Rhinolophus ferrumequinum: one gene and its partner. The protein of the gene in region 1 interacts with the protein of each later gene in a pairwise test. Links are inferred from orthologs where the notes say so. Each region holds a gene or a part of one and is shown in the gene's direction. Other genes may lie near its edges.

Region 1 (11,448 bases):
TGTGTTCACCACCCAGAGTCAGTTCTCCTTCCATCACCATATATTTGATCCCCCTTACCCTCATCTCCCACCCCCCAACCCCCTTACCCTCTGGTAACCACTAAATTATGTTCCCCAGATTAATTTTCAAAACCCCATGACTATCTTGTCGTTACTGATTGTTTATAATCCCCTCACCTTCCCCCTTACCCCCACCCCCACCGCCCATCTAGCAACCCTCAGTTTTTCCTCTTTGCACCAATTTAATAGTAGTTTGCTATGTATTATTTGGGATTTTCTACATGTGGGGTCATGTATCCATGAATAAATATACATTTAACTTCTTCCTTTCAAATTTGAATGTCCTTTATTGTTATTCTTGCCTAATTGCTCTGACTAGAGCTTCCAATATTAAGTTGAATAGAAGTGGTGAAAGCCAACAGACTTGTCTTCTTCCTGATCTTAGTGGGTGTTTAATCTTTCGCCCTTCATTATGATATTAGCTTTTGTTTTTTCATACCTTTTATCTTTTATCATATTCGTAAAGTTCTTTCTATTCCTAGTTTTCTGAGTGTTTTTATGATGGGGGGGTGACTGTTCCCAAAGTTTTGCCATAGTAAGATGGCAACATGTACTGCTCCTAAACATGTGCCACAACTTGTACCATACAACGTTTGTCACCATGTTCCATTACTTCCATTTTCCCCTTAGTTTTTGAACCAGGCAACTAAATGCATTTAGGAGCATGCAGAACACATTATGATATAAAGAAGCATGCACTTTGTCTACGGTGTCCAATAAACTGGATAAAAGTACTTAGAAGACACAGGGTAAAAACAGAAATACAGGGATGTTATGAAATGGTCAAAATCTACAATTATACACAGGATGCATGAACACTAAACAGTTTCTTCTCATTTTCCTTCCATACCATTAAAATAGAGCTACAGTTAATACTAGTATCTATTCAAAATAAATTTTTTTATTCCTATAGTTCATTTAAAAAAATTCTCTAAAAATGGCTAATTCTGTAGTAAATTGCTGAAAATTTTATTTTTAAAGGAAATAAGTAAACCAACATAATTATTTGTATTATATGTTTGTTTAGGGAAAAAGAGAGATAAGTAGGTAATATATTTGCTTTTTCAGTGAGATTTTTAAAGTTATTAAGAACATATTTGGTAATTAGTGGCCAAATTTGTGATTTCAATGCATGCTATAATATAGGTCTCATAATAAAAGTATGGGCTTATGCTCTCCATCGCTAACTAGTAAACCAAGGTTTGGATAAAATATTTTGAGGTTATTTTAGGTAATATCTAGATTTTTTAAAGTTTTAAAAAAATTTTAAAGCAGTTATAGATTTATGGAAAAGGTGTGAAAAGAAGATAGGATAATCTAAAACTCCCTTCATCTAATTTATACAAATGTTAATATTTCACCATATTTGCTGTATCATCTTTTTCTGTTTCTATGTCTCTTTCTTTCTCTTCCTCTGTATATAAATATATTTTTTCTTAATTATTTGAGAGTAAGTTGCAGACATGATATCCCTTTCCCCCTTAAATACTTAATTTTGTATTTTTAAAAACATAGACACTCATTTATATAATCACAATACAGTTAGCAAAATCAGTGAACTAAAACTATAGACCTTATCACATTTTTCCAATTATCCCATTACTGTCCTTTATAGTATGTAGAAACAAATAAAATAAAAACAAAATCTGGCCCAGGATTTAATCTAGGATTATACTTTATGTTCAGTTTTCATGTATTGAGATAATATTCATGGTATTTATTAGCTCTTTCCTGGTTGGTCGTGGTAATCTATCACCCAATATCTTACAAAATGTCTATATCTCTGATTTTTTTATTTTGTTCTCTCTTCACTGTTGGGCTGATAAAATCTTGTCTCTGGAACTGTGTTTTCTAATTTCATTACCATTCTCTTCAAATGGCTTGTACTTACTTTGTAATAACTGTTTTATACAGTAGGATTTCACAGTGATTGTTTCCTGCACGGCAATATCATTTAATGTGAAAGATCAGAATAATAAAAAAAATTATAGCAAGTATCTGCAGTATTTTAAAGCCTTTTATGTGATGGTGGTCTCTTAAAACACTATTCCAATATTAACGGTTCTTTCCATGAATGTTTAAAAACTAATACAACTGAAATTCAATCCACTCTTTCTTCCCTTGTTTTAGTCATGATATAAAACGACTGCTTATACATCTGCCTCTGTGGCAAAAGTTTTCGTGTCCTTGAAGATTGTTTTTATTACATCATTCCTTAGCCTTCATCTATTTATTTTATACTGAATACAACAGAGCTCAGGTCTTCATTTGCTGTGCATGAAAACATTATATTTTACTGATGTGATTTTTCACCTTAATATATTGATCTCCAGTAATAATCAATATGTGAGCTACAATTCAACAATTCAAGGATTTAATTTGAAGAAGACAGTCAATAACTTTCACCTTGAAACAATCACTTCATTCGCCTTTTCTGTAATGCAGTAACTGTTCCTCAGCGGCTATCAACGTCAACCAAAATGTGTTAGTGCAGTGATTGTCCATAGAGATGTATAACAAGATGAACTTTGTCAGTTTTCCAAACAGAGATAATTTCCACATCAGAAATGGTTTATTTGAGTTGTTAGGCCACTTTAGAATAGGAACAGCTTTTTTCTTGGCCTTCCTGTCTTATATTTGTGAAGATTCAGAATAGCAATATTCCAAACAAAATACTAGTAGGCTTTCAACCAATATCAGTCCTTTCTCTCTCTTCTGCTCTCCTTGAATTATACATTTGTGTCTGTTAAAATTCAATATGATAATTAAAAAAACTTTTCCAATCAGAAAACTTTCATATGTATATATGAAAAAAGTTCTATACATATATATGTGTGTGTGTATAAATACCAGCTTTGAGTAGTGAATATTCATTTTGTGCTGTAGCGTATTAGCATATAGCATAAATTTTGGCTCTGAACTCATTACCTATGAGAGATTTCTCACTGCATGTGCTACTGTTGCTATTGGTTGTTGGCACAGCCAAGTCCTAATTCTCTTCTTTTCTACTTGCAACCCTAAAATATATCATAAAAGTTATAAAAGAAGCTGGAGCAATTTCACTTGTTCAGTTAGTGAAACTAAAATAAATCGAAACATTAAAAAACACCTATGTAATGGACTCTGTCAGACTCTTTAGTAGATGAAAATGAGTCATTCAATATTTTAGTCCTTCATTATACTCTGTCCCAGGCACCAGGATATTAGAAAGCTTAGTGTAAATGATCTGGCTGTTACAATTTTATTAACCCTTGGTTCTTATTTGAGTGGCTTCTAATGAATTCTTGGAGTAAGTAGTCAGACTAGTGACATATCCCTAAAGTTGATGAGAACTCTGAAATAAAAACTGTGTGTTTTATGTAATATTATAGGTTGGGTATTTTTTTTTGTTAGTGTGCAATGATAAGCCTGATTAAATGCCCTTTATCCTGGCCTTTCTTATAAAGGTTTGTAAAAGCATTGAATACAAAGTTTGTGCATTAATTATAGGACATAGTCTATAATGCATGCCTTGTTGACCCTTCAGAACCAAGTTTGGTTGGAGCAAAATGTTCCATAATATCCCATTGTTGAAATAATAGTGCAGTAAATGGAATACCATTAAAAAACAAAAACAAAAACAAAAAAAAAACACCTTTCAGGACTAGAACTCATGTTTAAAATGAGATAAATCTTTACCTAAGATATACAAATCAATTCAGTGGTCAATATGGTTAAGTTATTTACACCATTAGAAAAAGAGGTGGGCTTACCAGTAGTTATAATTTATTCATGTTTAGACATATGATACTATCTATTCAACAATTATCTATAGAAGGCTCTCAATTTATTTACATTTATGTTTATAAAATGTTTGTATTAATAAAGTTGTGCTGAGGATATCCACTGTGTAATTGTGGTAACTGTAAAATATTCATATGTGAAACGAGCAGAGAACATATGGTGAGATAGAGTCAGCTATTGAAAATATAGGGATCTGATGTAGGATAAATGTATGTGTAGGGCACCTTTATTCAGTCATATTCTGTTTGGAAATGCATTTCCCCTTTTAAAGTGAAATTTAGATGTTTGCTGAGAGTTTACCTGAGAAAATAAAATTATAAATATTTTTTGGTAATAATTAGGAATATAAAAGTTAGCTAGCTAGTTTACCATATTTATAATGACATGAATATCTACAGACATTGTATAATAAAGTCAACCCTTGGACTACTTTCCATGGTATCTTCTTTCTGCACCTTTAATCATGGAAAAGAGGACTATGAATAGATAATGTAATTGCTGTTGCCGGACGTAACAAGAATTACTGCATGTTTTTGATTCATGAAACTGGGTTTGTGCATGGCCCCATAAGCACTACATGCTTTTAATCTTTTGGTATGATGCAAAGCAAAATGTGATTACAATTACTGCACAATAAATTTTCTAATTTATACTCATTCCAAAGTGTTTACAATTTATTAGTTGTGTTTGGCATCTTACCCACCCTCCACTACAGTAGCTTCTGGCCACCTCTCTGAAGATTGGCAGCATTTCTACTGTCAAAAAATAAAATTATCAATTAGTCATAGTTCTCACAGTTTATTTCATGAACTTTTAACCACCCGATCATATTTGTTAGCCATGTACTCCCTCATCATTGGCCCTGTGGTAGCATACACTCAGCTTCCAGGTAGGATGAACAATTTCTGGTGCCGAAAGAAGTCATGTTTGTTACTTCTGGATTACTGACTTGTCTGTCTGTGCCTTAGTTGCCACATTTATAAAACAGAAAGTAATACTTGAACCATGTTTCACAGAGTGCTTTTTTGAGGACAAATTGAGATCATGGATGTGAAGTCACATAAAAAATGTAAAACATAAGTAAAAAATAATCTCCCAACCTTATCCTGAAAAATAAATAAGGAAAAGATTTGACTACATTAAGAACTTGGAAAAGTTTCAGCATGCTTTTTTGTAGGAAAGTTAGCCCCCATTCTTTCACACCAAAATGGTGGGGGGAGAGGCGAATTGAATAAAATGATTGTTTATGAAAAGAGACAATAGTTTTGTAACATTGAAGCATGCAAGCTGCATTATCAGATCCCATTGTTAAGAGAAGGATGGGAACTGCCTCGAGTGTTGATACCTGCAGCATTTGACTCTCCTTAAATAAAAGTGAGAGAGATACAAACTAGCTCAGCAACGGCACTTGGTGAAAGGCTATCACATCTAAAATACGGAGAAAGGGGGAAATTTGAGCAACTGGGGTTACCTGTTTAACTAGTCTCTTCCTTTTACCACATGTCTCCCTAATTCCTTCACTAATTGTGGCTAATTGTGTTGCTTTTCAGTTGTAGAATTCAGCCCTCTCCCGGAACCCCTCCCATAGATAGGGATGGATTGGAGAGGAGGGATGGATGGGAGAAAAACCAGAATCAAGTCAATACCCCAGTGATCGTACGCTGGAAGCGTATTGCTACAACAATATCGCCCCAGACCCGCTTTATTTGTTTATCAATGAACATCCTACAGCGTCCCCGAGATGTAGGTCAGGCTCTTAGAAAACACAAGCCGCCGATCAAACGCAGTCTTCATTATGTTTCCAGACTGGGTGCGCTGCCGATTCCTGCACAGTGGAGTGCGTCTGAGCCGCATGAGGGAGAGGAGACACCTGTGCCTTAGGGACTCAGGTGAAGTCCTATCTACCTTCCTGAGACTTTCCCTGGTGCTTTCCCTCCCCTCAGCCTTGCACTCCTCATCCCCATTTCCCCTGACGTCTTGGACCCGAGCTTCTCTGCTTAACGGGTGCTTTTCCCGCTCTCTACCCCCTCTGCACCTCTGCTGAAGACACAGAGGGCTCCACACAACTGGGCATGCCTAATAACCAGCGAAGGCTTGGTCTGCAAGAAGAAAGCGTTTGCACCTTCTGCGCCCCCCTCCCATCTACAGCTGCCTCCTGCCAGTCAGGCGATCCGACGTGCGGCTCTGCCCAATGAGAGCCCTCGGCCTTCGCGGGGGCCCCGCCTCTCATAGCACCACCACCAATGAGTGGTTGGCAGAGGTGGGACGCGTCCTGTTCCCGCCTCTCCAGTTAAGGCCGCTTGTGTGAGCCGGGACTGCGCGATCCAGGGACGACGGTAGGGACGGGCAGGTGTGGGCGCTGGGCCGTGCAGCCCGACGGCTGGAGTTGCAGGTGCTCTGTGCATGGGCCAGTGAGGACGCGCGGAGATCCCCTCTCCCCGGCAGAGGCAGAGCAGCGCGGGAGCCAGGCGCTGCCCGGCGACCCTGCGTCTGAGCGAGCGGAACCTTGCGCTTCGCCCGGGGACTGTCCGAAGTCCGCGCTATGGAAGAGGAGAAATATTTGCCTGAGCTGATGGCAGAGAAAGATAGCCTGGATCCATCTTTTGTGCATGCATCACGCCTTTTGGCGGAAGGTAGGACTTGCCTCTATAGATGTGCACAAACCGCCGGCCGCCCATAGCACCCGCGGCTTGGTTAAGGGGAGTGAAGTTGGGGAGGGACGACTGTCTCCTTCGCAGAAACTGTGCCCCTGAAGATGCTCGCGGACTGAGCATCGGAGCTCGGGAGGACAGAACCTATTCTTGGGGCGGGCAACAATGCTCCTTTTAATTTGGGGAAAGATCAAAGCTAGGAGATCTAATGACAGTGGTGATGTGACCTTTTAGAATCATTGATAGAGACACCATAAAGTGTAACGCGGTTCACAGGGATATTTTCACTTCGCAGAGGAAAGGGTAATCAGTTTAGAAGTAAATGATCACCAATGTAGTATTCTAAGAGCTTCTTAGTTACACATCAGCATTTTTTTTTCTGCATTTGGGAAGTGATTCTGTTACCCTTTAGTCTAATTACAGTCTTTCCTATGGAAAGGCTTAGAATTAAACTATTCATGTTCGTCTATGTTTGTGAATGTGGCAGAGGCTAAAGTGCTTATCAATTTATTTGAAGTGCGATGATTGGGTTACTCTGCGAGTTGCTGGTCCCTGGGAACACTCCACAATTGATCAACTGTTTTACCAAGTGTGCATTTTCTTTTGTGTACCTGTAGTGTTAATGGAGATTTCATCCCCAGAGAAACATATGTCTTGTTTTTTTGCATGGCTTTGAAAGGTTGTTTAAACACACACACACACATACACACACACACACACACACACACACACAAACTTCTGTATGACAGAAACATTAGCCAAATCGCATCATTTATCTTGAAATATCGCCTTCGGACTGCTAAAGATTTTCATGATATCTGTAGTAACTAACATACACATACCTTAAAAAAAAAAAAACTCCAGGCTTTTTTTTTTTATTAATCCTTCATTATTAATGAATCGTTTCATCATCAATTTGACTACAATGCAGTTTTGTAGCTTAGGTTGCTATGGGCTTAACCTATAGCAAAACTAAAAGTGACCAACTTCCTCTTCCTCAGCCCTTCAGCATTAAAATAAATGTTTTCTTTTTTGAGACTTATGTAGTTGTACATGGAAGGAAAAATTCTGACCCTCCATGTATGATTCAAATAGGCATTCTGTCTATTTCAAGATTATATTGATAGATTATTATTTATAACAATAATAATGTGTAGGTGTTTTTCCTTTTTTCATAGTAAACAATTAAAGAATTTATAAACAAAATATTGAATGTGTGAAACAAGTAAACTATTTTTCAAGAAACAAGTTGGTTTTGTAGAGTATTTGGGAAGATAAAATGTAATTATGCTTACTACTTTTTTGGTTACTGAATTAAAGCAAATAAAGTAGAAAAGTGAAGTCAATTAAAAAATTAAACTCTCCCTCTATTAAAAAATTAGATAATTACATCAATACATAGGAAAATTAATGAGTTAATAAATGCTTAGGATTGTTCAAAACGATTAAAAATGCAAGTAGGCCTTCTCAAATTGCTTAGTTCAATATATTTTCCAGAAGTATCTTCATTTAGCTATTAATATCTTTAAAATGAAAACAGTATACTACAAATTGATGATTTTCTGTAACCTGCTCATTGGAGTTCTCTTTGGGGCAGCAGGCTCAGTGATTAATTCATCTTTCACTAATGAGAGTGTATTTTTTAAAACGGCCAAGCTAAAGAAATGAATGTGAGAAAGTCTTAATGGAGTGCAAAGTATTTCTGCGACTGGTGAAACAGTCAGAGAAGGCTGTGCACCTGGTTCTTTAAGCATTTTATCTTTCCTAGGAACTTGATTTCTTGATACTTAAGAACATGTTCAGATGTACCTTGTAATTTAATTTTTTCCCAGTAGGGGGAAGCATGTCCTACTTTTGTAAAGCCTTAGGAGGAAAAGCTCATAAATAGAGAGAAAATAATCTAAGTAAGAAACAAAGAGAGGTGTCTAAATTTCAGAGAAATCATAATGAGGATAAGAGAATGGAGGAGGTGATGATAAAAATCTTGAAGGGTATAAAGAGACGCAAACAGATGCATAAAGTTTAAATTCGTTCTCTCATTACCTGAGGCTTTTTATGTGTGCTTATTAAGGAGGGTAAGGTGAGTATCCTTTGGACTCTTTAATAAATCTTAATGTACATTTTACATTATAGATCTTTCATTACCTTTTCAAAGGCCATTTGTTAAGATTTCCAGGTTTTGGTTCACATCTGTATGAGAGAGTATTGTTGAGATGATTTTCCTTCTCATACCTGGAAATGCACTGATTGAAGGCAGTGGCTATAAATAAACCTGACATAGATATTCATTTGGAAGGAAGGTGCACACTGAAGTACATTTCAGTCAGTACTGTGCAGACAGTCTCAAGACTGAGTGAGTAATAAAAATGATCCAGATGATTCAGTTCTTCGGAATGATTTTTCCGGAAGCTTATATATATACCGGAGTGCCAAAAAATGTATACACATGACTTGTATTCATCTTTTATTATCGGTATATATTAAGTATTATACTTTTAATACAGTTTTTTCCTTTCTTAAAATGTGTATACATTTTTTTGGCACCCTATATATTTGTGTGTGTATTTGGCACACTATATATATTTGCATATATATATATATATATATATATATATGCAGTGATATAAACCAATAAGCTTTCACAATGATTTGTTTTGCTTTTGTGATTGATGATAGATGCAAATTAGTGCTCTATTGTTACTATTATGTTTAGAATTGGAGGCCATGTTTAAAAGAACTATTTTGTTGGTAATTTTGCTATTTGTGTGTGTGTGTGTGTGTGGTTTGTTTTATTTCAGTTGTTGCTGCTGTGTGTTTTCAGTAGGAATGATTCTGAGAAAGCTAATGAAAGAGCCCAAACATTTTATGAATTCGATTGCTATTTAGAAAAGATCTTGAATAGTATGGTTGAAGAGTGTTTATAATATGTTTGATTAAATTAAATAATTTTCCTTCTATGATTATCATATTTAATTATCCATTTGTTATGGAAGGTGTTTTTACATATGATGAAACAGCAAACTCAGCATTATCTTTCAAGTTCCACTCAGCCTCTGAATTTGCTTGCCAGATGAAATTAGATAAGGTTATTTATATCTATGCTACTTCTGGTAAGTGCACTAAACTGTGAATCCAGATACCTGGATTTTAATTCCACTTTTGCCCCATGTGAATCTTGATAAGCTTTCCTTCCATGGACCTAGATTCCTTGTCTCACAAGTTAAGGAGTTGGACTAGATGATCTATATGTTTCTCCATAATTCTAATTAAGTCTGGGACTAATGCTGATGCAAAGGAGTTGTATTTGTGTATTCAGAAGACCAAAATCAATGGCTGAAACTTTTTTTATTCTTTCTTAGTTTAATGATTAATAATACATATATTGTACTATAATGTAATTTGATGCATATACATTATTTTGGGTACTGAGGACAGATTTATGTTCTTAAATCGATAGAACTATTATCTTCATAATAATTTGGGGCTACAAATGTATATATATATATATATGGAAATATTATTGTTTGCTGTCAAGCATGCCTGTCCGCTGACAGACATAGATCTGTTCAAATTTATAGATTCAAATATGGTGATTCCATACCTTTAGGAGGATTAATAAATTTTTGTCCAATTGAGAGTATTCCAGGTGCTCTGATTGGCAAGACTTGGTAACCTGAATTCTTCACAAATTTTGGTAGATTCATCATTGTTTTGTTTGCATCATCATATGATGAAGCGAAATATTGCCAAATATCTCAACAGTGGAAATATTTATTTTTAGAAAGTCTAGGTGCTACTTTCAAATTTTGGTGAAAAGCTTGGCAGTCCATCTAGGATTGGCCTGCTTGTATGCAGATATAGATGAACTTTTGATACCACAAGAGAAACAGGGATTAACATTTATCACAAATACTGATTTCTAGTGACTTAACTATATTTAGATTCTCAGTAAGGATCATTTTTTTTTTTAATTTAGATTGTGTTCCTTAAAATATTTTCCATAAAGCTTAGTAAAGATATTGGTATAATACCTTTAAAATCTATAAAATCAGCTTCTCATCAAGTAATATTCATATGACTTTTCCTTTAACGTAATTCTTTTTTCTCCTCTCAGTATCTTTGGCATAATCTTATTTACGTTTCTTCAGTAAAGAACAAAATTGTCAGAAAAACTAAATTTAAGGTATCTTTGATCTGCTATTAAAACTCATTTACAAAATCGTGGAAAAATTCTGCTTAAGCAAACAAAATACTTGGCACAGAATGTTGAAACTTCTGTTTACTATGAAATATAGGATATATCATTTATTTCCTTTCTGATTCTCAGTTTCTTCATCTGTAAAACAGGCAAATTAACATCTACTTGGCATGGTTCAATTAAGGTAAAAAAATGCTGTGTGTGATAATATAAGCAGTATTTTATATAAATATAAATAGAAGTTTTATTCAACTATAACAAAAACATAAGAAGAAATTATACAAATATCAGATGATGCTTTCAAGATTTTCCTTAACATTTTAATGGCATTTGTGAACTTGACCTCAACTTGAAGCTTGATTTTGTAAGAAAATAAGCACTGCCTTTGAATCACTGCTGAGTGAAATTTGAACTCATAAACCAAATCATGAAATACATTGTCTTACGAAAAATGATTCCAATGAGGGTTTTTAAAATATCATATTCCCTTAGTCAATGGTTACTTGTCTTGATTTTACTTGAGCTTGATTAGCTCTGGTTCTGTGTGTTTAAGAATAATTACAAACCTCCTCAGGCCTCTTCACAAACCCATATTCCTTTACTCTTGGCAGCTGATTTCATCCTGTTTTCTTGGGGGAAATGGATATATCTTTTCTGACATTCTTTAACCTCCTGCCACCTAAAAACTTCCATCCTCATTCCCACTGTCTTTCATTCCCAAAGGATGAAATGTCTTTCATTCCCCTTGTTTTTCAA
Region 2 (11,748 bases), about 25 Mb from region 1:
GTAGCCAGTTGGCCAATTGGCTGCTGATGTAACTGCCATGACGGCACTGGTTGGTTGGTTGGTTGGCAGGCAGAAAAGCGGACGGCGGATTGTGGATCCTACTTCGTGTGTCTCGCCCGGCCGCCAGCAAGAATAGAGTGGTATGACTCCCCTACCTATGGCTCCGTGGGTGTTCCTTTTTGGCCTCGCCATATCCTGCGTTCTTATGTGGGGAGCGGAAGCAGAGACCCCACGTGAGTCCCTGCATGACAATCCCTCAATGGTGCCATTCAATTTTGCAGGTTTTGAACTTTACAAAAATGGAACTGTCTGTCTCGTGTCTCATACCACATTATGTGAGGTTCGGCCATATTGTTGTCCGTTCTCTCACTGGCCTCACTGGCCAATCTGGCTTTCTTTCTGCCACTCCACTGAAACCACTCATGTTCACACTGTCAAGTCCGCGGAGAAAGTCTCTGTTCTCCTCTCACTGGACATGTCATCAGCATTTGATACAGCTGAGCCCTCCTTTCCTCTCCAAACACCTTTTCCATTTGATGTCTGGGACACCCTCTGTTTCCTCCTCCTCTTTCCACCTACATCCCACATCTCATGCAATCCATGGCTTCAAATACCATTTACATCCACCCATGGCTCCCAAATTTAAATCTCTCCCAAATTCAAATCTCCAGTCCTCTTCCCTAAGCTCCAGGCTCCTATACCCACTGCCTATTCAACATCTCCACTGGGATATTTTTTTTAAATATCAAGTTTAGTTTCTGAATCCCCTTCCCTTCCCAGCCCCTCCAAATCTGCTCCTCTCCCAATCTTCCTATCTCGGTATCCCCAGCTGCTCATACAAAAACCTGGAAGTCCACTGAAGTAGCCTTACAACGCTCTCTCTGCTTCCTTTCTTGCCCACCCCCCACATTTATTCTCCACTCAGCAAATAAACTTCTAAATGTGGACATCAGATCTTCATTCCTCTGCTCAAAACCCACCACTGGCTTCTCATCGGACTTGGAATAAATCCCAAACACTTCCCATGACATGGTCCCTGACGACCTTTCTGACCTCCTCCTGTGCTCTCTTCAATCCTCCGTCACTCTGGCTAGGCCCACAGTCAACAAGCTCCTTCCCACCCCAAGCCCTCTCACTGACTGGCCCCTTGGCCTGGAAGACCCTTTCCCCACATCTCCAAACAGCCACTTCTCCCCATCACCCCAGGCTCTTCTAAGTCTTTCCTGGAGGACGCCTCCTCATCCACTTGTTCTCTATCCCCTTTCATTGCCCCTAAATAACATGATTTCAAATGATGAATCAATTTACTCACAAGAAGACAAGCTCCATGAGGGCAGGGACTTCCTGCCACCCTCACAGCAGCACATCCATGCCGTCCCTGGAACAGCACCTGGCACCTGCTGCTCAGCATTTGGGGGATAAATGACCAAGGGCTGGAGGGGGATCCGAACTCAGGCTGCCGGTGCCACAGACTCTCCCTGTCACACCACCTGAGCACAGTCAAGTTAGTGCACAGGCTGCTCGGAGAGGGCATACAGCCTCCTGGGAGGAACAGCAGGGTCTGAAGTCAGGGGAAGAAAGCCAGGGGGGCATGGCTGGAGAGGGAGCAATCTGTCAGCAGTCAGGCAGGTTTTGCCCAAGGCAAAAAGGAAACTGAAAGGTAAGTCAGGAGCATTTCCAACGAACTACTCTGCTCTGCTCTCCCTAATTTCTTCCAGGCTGGGCCTTTTCTGGTTCAGTGATACCTCAGTGCCACAACTTTGCCAAAGTCACTTCTCACCTCCCCCACTCAAATTAAAAGGGGCTCTGGGCCCTAATGAGACCTTCCTTTCTCCCCACCAAGAGCAGAGACAAATGTCTGCATTAAGGCAAGAGTCTCCTTGACAACAGATTTAAAGGATTCAGACCAAGAAAGAAACTAATACTTGTTAAGCTCCCCCTATGATTTCATGGCCCCTCTGCTATGGACTAATTACTCCAACTTCCAGAGTTAACACATACAAGTCACTTAGTCCAGTGCCTGGCACATAGTTAAGTACCACACAAATGTTTAGTTACTATTGCCATTATCACTGCTTGTCAGGCTTTGTTAGGCTCTCTCTTTCCTCTTCCCTTCACTCCTCACATCTGTTCTTTCACTTACGTATCAGTATTCCCATTTTAAAATCCAAAGTACTTAAAACTCAGTGGGTAAATACGTGTTCAAAATCAGTATCAACCAAGAAGAGGTGGGATTTAACTCAGGCATCCCATGGTCCTTCCACTACGGCACATGGCCTCCAGAGACCTGGAGCCTAATGACGTCTGATCAGCTCCCCTCTTTTCCAAACACGGGGGCCGCCACGCCACGCATGGCACTGCTCCCTTACCCACACAGCCGATGGTCAGCACCCCGTCCTTATAGCGCTCCCGGGCTGGGCCGGCCGGCTCCATGGCCGAGTCGGTCTGCTGCTCCACCAGCACCGCGGGCCCATCATCCTCTTCTTCCTCCTCACCGGAGCCATTCCCCCAGCTGGCCCCAGCCACATCCCGGGCAATCTTCTCCCGCCAGCTGCTCAAGTCCACTGCTCAGGGAAGAAGACAAAGAAGGTTCTCCCCAGAGCCACTGTACGTGACGGCACAGACTATACTGCACAGCTGATGGAACTGGTGCCCTCTGGAGTTGAGTAGTGCCAACCTGCACCACAGCCGACTCTCCCCAGCCTTCACTTGACACCACCCTGGAATCACATGCATTTCTCTGAGTTTTCTGAAAAGTCCTGGGAAGCCTGAAGGCAGCGACCCTGGGGCTCCTGCCGACCTGCTACCTCTCCTGTCCCACCAAGTCGGTCTGCTCCCTCTTCCACCCCTCCCCCAGCCTCTCGCCTGTGCCAGGATAGAGGAGCTGACTTCGGAAAAGGTGAGTAAAACGACTCTGGGCCTTGGGTCTCCCGATGACCTGTCACATCTCCCTCTAAGAGGCACAAACCTTTCCCTGCAGTGATGGCTTCACAGGCTCTCAGCAACTGCTCGGGCCCCAGGGCCCGAGTCCATCCTCTCCCCCGCCTCCGACTCTTCTTCAAGACTGACATCGGAGAACACAAAAGGGTTAGCACACCCCACCTGTCTCACCGCCCTTCGGTCCAAGATCTGGTGCCCCCTTGTCAACAAGCATCTCTGCTCTCCCTTTGTCCCCTGCCACCCCATCTCTCCCATGCTGCCCTCCTCACTGCCACTCACCACTACTAGAGTCCTGTGCGGTGCGGGGGTCCCGAGGGAAAGAGGTGAAAAGGACGACATGGAGCTGGGGAAAGTGTTGGTGAAAATAATGCTTCCAGGCGACCGCGAGAGCCGGCGGGGCCAGGTCCACCTTGTTCAGGACCAGCACCAGGCCCAGCCCAAGTTCTCCAGTCACGTACTCGTAAAGCGCTGGTGGGAAATTCACAACCTGGGACAGGGATGGCAAGGGAATGAGCAATGGGAGGTCACCCCAGAGTCCTCTGCCTCTAGCTCAGCAGGCACAGCTTGGAGACAAGACCCTGGAGGTGGCAGATTCTGGGGCAAAACAGGTAAATTAGCTGAATTGAACTAGGAAGACAAAGCAGAGGTAAGAAGCACCTGTGCACCTGCGCAGGCATGTGCGTGTGTGCACGCCGTTACGGATCTGCAACCTGCATATCCCCACAGACCCTCCCTTTCTCCCACTGGAGGACAACAGGAAGTGGCAGAGCGGGGTCACACAATGGCCATCCAGCAGCAGAGTCTGGAGCCTTAACCGCTACCCCAGCATTCCAGGTCAGCCTCGTGCTGACTAATGGGCAGGGCACGGGAAAGCCCCCAGCTGCTTTCATGGAAGCCCCTAGAGCTCCACTCTAGGACCTTCTGTTGGTTTAACTCTGCTGGGCTGGGAAACAGGATGTGTAGTTTTTCATCAAAAGAATAAGAGAGGAGAGTCAGTTAGCCAGGGAAGGAATGACAGTCTGGGACACTGGTGAGTAAAGGACTGAAACCCTGACTGCAGACATCAGCACGGGGTACACGAGAATGTGAAGGAAGAAGGATACCTCTTTGTCTCCCAACTCCTGCCTCTGCCCTTGACCCCACAAGAATGTCCCCCCACCCCCACCTCCGGCTTTCCCAGCCTTATCCCAGTACTCACTGGGTGTCGGATATCAGTGATAAGCAGGACAATGTCAGACATCTCTAACACTCGCCACAGCTGCCTCCACGTCTGAAAAGACAAGGTCAGCAGAAGAGAACCTGAGCCCAGAGTCCCTTTCCTGCCTGACGCCAAACCAATCTGACCCTGGGTCACTACACCCTATTCTTGTCCCCACTCCATTCTCACCTCCAGATTGTGCTCAAAGTAGCTGAGTTTCTCCAAGGTGTAAGCCCCATGAATCTTCCCAAGATATTCCTGGAAGCTCCGTTCCTCCTGGCTCATTAGTTGCTCCTTGGACATCTCATAGCTCCAAGGAGGACGTCGGGGAAAGTCCAGGACTGGGAAATCAATAAAAAGCCCAAGGGAGTCTGAGGATCGTGTCAGGACTGCAGGGTGCATCCCAAACCCCTCCTTCCTCACAGTCAGCTTTCACTCCTCCACAGCCCTTCCCCCAGCCCAGTGCCTATCACCAACAGCCAGCTCTCACCCACCTGAGCCAGGCTGGTAGACCTCCCGGATGTCCAGCTCCAGCACTTCAGCACTGACAGGCTGCAGCACTTGCTCCCGGGCTGCTCTCTTTCTCCTCTCCACCTCCTCCCGGCTGTCCCTCTCAAAATGCAGCCGGTATCTAACGGGACAAGGACCACAGCATCCATTACAATCCTGTGGCCACAAAAAGACTCCCCTCTTGGGCAGACAACTTACCAAAGCTTTCTCTCCAAGGTTGTCCTTTGAGTAGGCCCTCCTCCAACTCCCTCTTTCCCGCAATATTCAGCCTTCCCCTAAGTCTTGTACTTCTAAAAGCCAAGCTCTCTCCAGCCCCTCCGGAAGGGAAGATTGTGGCCGCTCCCTGGAGCCCAGTGCCCGCGGAGAACTGTGGCATCCCAGCCACACCACCTCCAGTTTCAAGCCAGCGGCTGCTGGCTAGCCCCCAGTGCTCTGACTTTCTGGTAGGCGGGGAAGGCCAGGCCAGTGCCCCCCGCCCACTCACCGATTTGGGTCATAGCCTCGCGGACCCAGCCCCTGGGAAGGCTGCTGGTTGAGCCTACGGATGTGATGGGTCACAGACTCCCCGTCCGAGGTGTCGGTCTGCTCCTCCCGCCGCTCCCGACTCCCGCTGCGGCTGTTGGAACTGGATCGCAGCCCATCTTGAAGCCCTGAGGGGAGGAGCCGGTGACGCCAGTGCTGCCCGGCTCTCAGGGGCCAAAAGACCCCCTCCCCGTTGGATCTGGCTTCCCCTCACCCCACCCCACTTCTTCAGAGGCCCGATTCTCCCAGCCACCCTGCTGAGGACCCTCCTAGATGTGCGTGGGGGTAGTCACTCCTCCTCCAGGGATCTGCAGGGATGTTGCCCGTTCGAGCTGGAGGGATTCCCCTCCCCCAACTCCCCATCTTTCCCCACCCCTTCCATGTAGGGGGACTGGAGTGAGGGAATCCCCTCTGCGGTCACCCGCGCGCGACGGCTCACGGCCACCACCCCCTCCCACGCCCCCCAGAGGCGCGGCGGGCACACCCCTCCTTTTAGATGTGCGGGAGCCCGAGCCCCGCCCCCTCTTCTCTCTCCCGCACTGACCTCGCTTCCGCTCCCGCTTGTCCTGCAACTGCTTCTTCTTCTGCTTCACGCTGAAGGGCTTCTTCCTCGGCATGGCCCGGACCAGTCACCTGGCCCTCCCTCCGCCGAGCTCCCGCCGCCTCAACTGACTACACCCTCCCCGGGCAGTCCCCGCCGCAAGGGCCCGGGACCCTCGAGGGGGCGGAGCTAGAAGGTGACGTCAACGGGCGGGCCCGGCCGATTTGCCCCAGTAGCTGGGCTGGAAGGAGGAAGGGGGGCGGAAATACAGTCACTTCCCTCCCGGAGCTAGGCGAGATGATGTCGGGTGGGCTCCCCGCATGTGAGAGCCGGGGGCACGGAAAGGGCGCAGCGGCCGCGAGGAAGGAGGCGCGCGTGGGAGGATCGGGCTCGCATCGTCACGGACGCTACCAACTCACGGTCGATAGAGGGGGGACGCGTGTCACCACCACCTGGCGCGTCTGGTAGAAGCTACCACTCACCTGGAGGGGGCGGTGGAGCGGGGGGCGGGTCCTACCACCTGCGGGAAAGAGAGGCGTGGACGCGCCGGAGCTGCTTTGCCTGCCCCCGGGCTTGACCTGGAGTGGAAGCCGAGGCTGCGCGCGGGGGAATGGAGCCCAGTTGCTGTTTTACACTGGGGGCAGGGTCAGAGGTCTTGAGGATTGGTGGCGGTCTGAAGCGTCCAGGACACCGCCCTGCTGGGACCCAAATTCCTGGTGGAGGATAAGAAGGAGCAGGTTTACAGATCACAGGGCAAGGGTGGGTGAGGAAGGAAGCCCTGGTGGGACAAGGACTTTGGGGGGAGGTCAGAGGTCACGAAGTTGTGCCTGCTGCTGTTACCATAGTAACCGGGAACCGGATGTGGCGATCTTAGCGTGCGACAGCCCTCTTCTCAGACCTTCCCGCCGGAGAGCCTGAGAACTGTGTTGCACACTGTGGAGCGCTGGTTGTGGAGTTTTTTTCAGCGAGGGGAGAAGAGAGGAATTTTTTAAAAACATTTATAGAAGCGCAACGAAGGGAAAGTTTGAGATTTACGCCTTCTGGCAGAAACAGAGGGTGGCAGCTTACGTGAAAATGAGCTGCACAAAGGCTCCCTGCAGCCTTCCGGAAGTTAAATGGTGGGAGCTTCAGCCTCGGGTCCACAGCCCCCACGGAAGCGGAAACAGAATCTCAGCGTGCCCCTTCCTCACCGTCTTCCAAATCCCGCTGCAGCCATTGCCGCAACCACGATGCCGAAACGAAAGAAGCAGAATCAGCAGCAGCAGCCGCCGCAGCAGCAGCTCCCACTGCTAAAGCGGGAAAAGACTGAAGACGAAGAGGATGGGATTCCCATCGGTGAGGAGCCCGGGAGGAGTGTGCACATTTCTGCCAGCGGTCGGGGCGAGGGGTTAGGGGCTGAAAAGGTGCGAGGAAGTGGGCTCCAACGGAAGGAAGAAGGGCGCACGCGCTGGGGCAGGGGGTGGAGGGCCTATCCCGGATGGAGCCTTGAAAGAGTTGAACCCTCAACTTCAATCTGGCCTCTAAACCTTTCTAAAGAAGGCAGGGGAGGACAGGATAAAGAGCTCGGCCCTAGAGAGGTTGCAGGTTGCATGACCAGGATAATTTGTGTCCAGACTTTCACAGGGAAGGTGGAAGTGTATCTTTCTCTAAACTACAGGGGCGGAGGGGAGCTATCTGGCCAATTAGAGAAGGGTTGGATTACCTCTGGATGTTTTGGGTAGCAACAGTGTCAGGGAAAGAGTCGTAGGTAGGTATTCCTCCCGCATTATCCCCCTTGACCGAGTCTCCACTTCTTGCCAATCAATCCTGAACACTTTTGCAGAGGAAAGAGCAGATAGATGGGGTGAAAACCTGTAACACAGCTGAGAATATACCTGGTTTTACTGGTTGATTTAAGAAATGAGTAATAGAATAAAAACTTAAGAATAGGATCATCAGTCCTTTAGTCCATTATGATGACCATATTTTCATGTCTACTCTTAGGACCACCCAGCCTTCTGGGCCCTCCCCCCATGGCCAATGGAAAGCCTGGTGACCCCAAGTCAGGTGAGGAGGAAGGGGCCCTGATCTTTTTATTAGGTCCTGGAAAAGGGAGCAAGAGAGGGACTAAAACCCAGGAAGGACTTAAAATCAAAAGATCAGAATTTAGTACCTAAATGAATGAAGAGATGTTGTATATTCACAGATTGGAAAACTCAGTGTTGTAAAAAATGTCGATTCTTCCCAGATTGATCTGTTGATTCAATGCATTCCCAATTATAATCCCTATTTTGTGTGTGTGTGTGTGTCTGTGTGGAAATAAACATTCAACATTATTATATGGAAATGAAAGGATCAGGGTAAGAGATTGCAAAGGCAGGCTTGAAGTGCGAGGGGTTGCTGTGAATATTAAGACTTATTGTAAAGCTATAGTGGTTGTGACGGTGTAGTGTTGGCGCAGTGGTAGACACATGAGTCAATAGAATAGCATAAAGAGTCCAGTAACAGGCCCACACATACGCGGACACTTCATTTATGATGAAGATGGAACTGACATAGTGGTCTTTTCAGTAAATAATGCTGGATTAATTGGATATTCGTGGGGGTGATGAAATTTGACCTATTCATACCATATGCAAACATCAATTCCAAGTGGACTCTAAATCTAAGTGTAGAGGTAAAGAAATAATTCTAGAAAATAAATATATTTCATGGTCTTAAAGTAGATAAGAGTTCTTAGATAGGAAACACATCAACCATAAAGGAAAGATTTATAAACTGAACTACACTAGAAAATAAAAACTTCTATTAATCAAATGACACTATTAAGAAATTAATAGGGAGCCATAGAGTAGAAAATACTCGCAACAAATGTAATCAATAAAGAGCTTGTTCTAGAATATATATAGAAGTTTTCTAGACAAACTGTTAGAAAAATGGGCAAAAGACCAGAATAGCCACCTCATAACCGCAACCTAAATGACCCAAAAAACATGAACAAGAACATTAGTCGATAAATAAATGCAAGATAAAAACATACGACTTTGAAATTGAAACGCTTGTGCACTGTTGGTGGGATTGCACGGTGGTACACAATGAAAAACAGTATGAAGGTTCCTCAAAAAATTAAAAATAGAATTATCTTATGAGCCAGCAATTCTACTCCTGGGTCTTTATCCAAAAGAATGGAAAGCAGAATCTTGAAGAGATATTTGCATGGAAGAGATTGTTCATGGCAGCACTATTCACAATAGTGGAGATGGTAGCAACCTAAATGTCTGTTGACAGATGAATAGCTAAACAAAGTGTATGTTTATACAGTGGAGTATTATTCATCCCCTCAAAAGTGAGACAGTCTTGTCACATGCTACAGCATGTATGAACCTTGAGGCCATTATGCTAAGTAAAATAAGCCAGTCACAAAAAGAAAAGTACTGTATGATTACACTTAAGTGCAGTATCTAAAGTAGTTCAATTCAGACACAAAGAAAATGGTGGTTGCCAGGGGCTGGGTGGCAGTGGAAGAGGAGTGTTGTAAGTAGCTATAGAGTTGCAGTGTTGGAAGATGAGAAAGTTCTGAAGATGTGTTGCACAACAATGTTAATTTACTTAACACTACTGAGAGGTACACTTAAAAATAGTTAAGGTGGTAAATTTAATGTTACATGTTTTACCACAAATTAAAAAACAAAAACAAAAAATACTTCACACTCAACAGAATGGCAGAAATGAAAAAGATTGATTAATACCAAGTGTTGTCAAGGCAATGAAACAACGAACTGCTGGTGGCGGTATAAATTGGTACAACCACTTTGGGAAAAGTTTAACTTTATCTATTAAACTTGAGCATACATATACGCTAGGACCCAATAATACCTCTCCTAGGTATATATACTCAACAGAAATGCATACATATGTGTAACGACATGTACAAAAATGTTTATAGCAGCATTTTTCCTTATAGCCCCAAACTGGAATCCACCCACATGTCCACCATCACTAGAATGGATAAATAAGTTGTTGTGTGTGCATGCAATGGGATACTACACTGCACTGAAAATGAACGAGCTCCTGCTACAGGCAACTTGGATGAATCTCACAAACATGATGTTGAGCGAAAGGATCCAGACACAAAAGAATGCAGACTGTATGATTCCACTTATGCAAAGTTCAAAACCAGGCAAAAACTAACCTGTGGTGCCAGAAGTCAGGACATTGGTTACCTTTGGGGAGGAGGGTGGGTGGTGGGGGAGGAGGGGCACAAGGGGGGGGTGACTTCTGAAGTGCTAATGAGGTCCTATCTCTTCACCTGGGTGGTGGAAACACAAGTATGTTTACTTTGGTGATAATTGAGTTGTGCAGTTGAAATTGGTGTATTTTTTTGTATGTATAATGTGCTTCAATAAAAAGTTTTTAAAAAATCAAGGCTTTTTTATCAGGAATAAGCTGGCCATTGATCACCTTTCCATGGCTTTCTCTCTCTCTCTAGCTCTTCACAGAGGTCCTCCAGGATCAAGGGGACCGGTGATTCCACCACTGCTGAGTCTCCCACCTCCTTCCCGGGGCAGAGGCCCGGTTTGGGGAGGCTTAGGCCCCAGGTTTGGCCCATATGGTCGTGGTTGGTGGGGGATCAATGCTGAGCCTCCTGTTCCCGGACCAAGCCATGGTCCTTCCAGGGGAGGCTTTCACAAAGAACAGAGACATCCTCGAAGGCTCAAAAGCTGGTCACTTGTCAAAAATACCTGCCCACCCAAGGATGGACCCCAGGTTAAGGAAGGTGAGGTCCATTTTTTTTATGCCTGTATACATTTAATATCCTGCACTCCCAAAGTGACCCTGACTCTTCTCTTTGGGGCTGTCCTTCTGAAGTAGGAGTAGGCCAGAATGTTTTTCTCCCCGGAGAAAGACTACCATTCTAAAATATCTGGAAATGGTAGAGAATAGGAAATCAGACCACCTTCTCTAGCTCTGCTTTCTCTTACATTTGTTTTCTTTCTTACATTTTAAATTGCCCGATTTTCGGTTATTCACAGACAAATCTGATCGCCCTGTCTGCCGACACTTTGCCAAAAGGGGCCACTGTCGATACGAGGATCTCTGTGCCTTCTACCACCCAGGCGTCAATGGACCTCCTCTGTGAGAATGTGCCTTCCCGTCCAAGCTGGAAGGAGCCCTCTGTGACCTAGCGGCCATGTGTTTGCCTGGGGCCCTGTGATGGCTCTGTGAGGTGTTCCACCCACCACCCTCAGTCAGTGACGCCTGCCCCGACCCATCACTTCCGCGTTTGGGGTCCAGAGTTGTGTTTCATCAGTGGTGCACAGTGTGCACTTTCTTCTGGTTCAGCCTCCAGGGACTCGCCTTCCGGACCCCATCTTGGCTGCCTTTAGAGGCTTCCCCTCACCAACTGACTGCTGAACAGGAAACCTATTTGGTGCTGTTTCTTGTGCATCTGTCCACCCAGCCCCCAGTATTGCCCTCAATTCCTGAGCCTTGGAGCAGTTTCCTACCATTCCCTTCTTCTAGCTGCTTGTTTGAAGTCCTTTCTATGTGACGCCCCCTACTCCTTGTGGTGTCAGCTGCTCTGTGAAACTCACCAGGTTGTCTGACCTGGGATCAAGTTTGGGTGACTGGTACAGAGTCACTCCATGGAGGCCACGCTCCCTTTTTTTTCGTAGTTTCTGCATCAGTAGCGTGATCCCTGCTGCTGTGGTCTGTGATCACTGTGCTTTGTGAAACTGTGCATCCCCTTATAGCCGTTCTCAGTGTCCATGGCATTTTTGTGACTTCCCAACACTAGAATATTTCTGCCAAAATGAGGGAGGCTCTTGGTGCCCTCTAGTTTTTCCCCCACCTCCTAACCTGGGAGAATTGTGAAACTTTCCACAAGACTGCCTCCCTGGTCCTCCCCATTCCTCTGGGGTTGGTTTTTATGGGTTTCACACAGACCTGTGAGATGTCCTCTCAAGCCTCTGATGGGCCTACCCTATCTCCTGTCTCCATTTTCGTTAGACTTCGTCATTGTGAGGCTGCCAGCCTGTTCATGTGAATTCTGTGAATC

What was found.
Region 2: the proteins of KHDRBS2 (region 1) and PRR3 interact in binary tests that used the Homo sapiens proteins (3 or more experiments, as listed by UniProt). The two-hybrid records come from large-scale screens. The link is inferred for Rhinolophus ferrumequinum from reciprocal best matches to the Homo sapiens genes KHDRBS2 and PRR3.

The regions. Positions count from the first base shown.
Region 1 is NC_046286.1:26,295,203-26,306,650, reverse strand, and holds the start of KHDRBS2 (KH domain-containing, RNA-binding, signal transduction-associated protein 2), read left to right. Parts: upstream 1-6,110; 5' UTR 6,111-6,385; coding exon 6,386-6,476; intron 6,477-11,448. UniProt on the Homo sapiens protein: RNA-binding protein that plays a role in the regulation of alternative splicing and influences mRNA splice site selection and exon inclusion. Binds both poly(A) and poly(U) homopolymers. Phosphorylation by PTK6 inhibits its RNA-binding ability.
Region 2 is NC_046286.1:1,190,071-1,201,818, forward strand, and holds the start of PRR3 (proline-rich protein 3), read left to right. Parts: upstream 1-6,798; 5' UTR 6,799-6,826; coding exon 6,827-7,046; intron 7,047-7,694; coding exon 7,695-7,757; intron 7,758-9,654; coding exon 9,655-9,837; intron 9,838-10,179; coding exon 10,180-10,467; intron 10,468-10,723; coding exon 10,724-10,830; 3' UTR 10,831-11,748. Other genes in the region: GNL1 (guanine nucleotide-binding protein-like 1), read right to left, coding at 2,370-2,564, 2,969-3,064, 3,220-3,427, 4,139-4,210, 4,328-4,479, 4,633-4,769, 5,133-5,298, 5,715-5,787.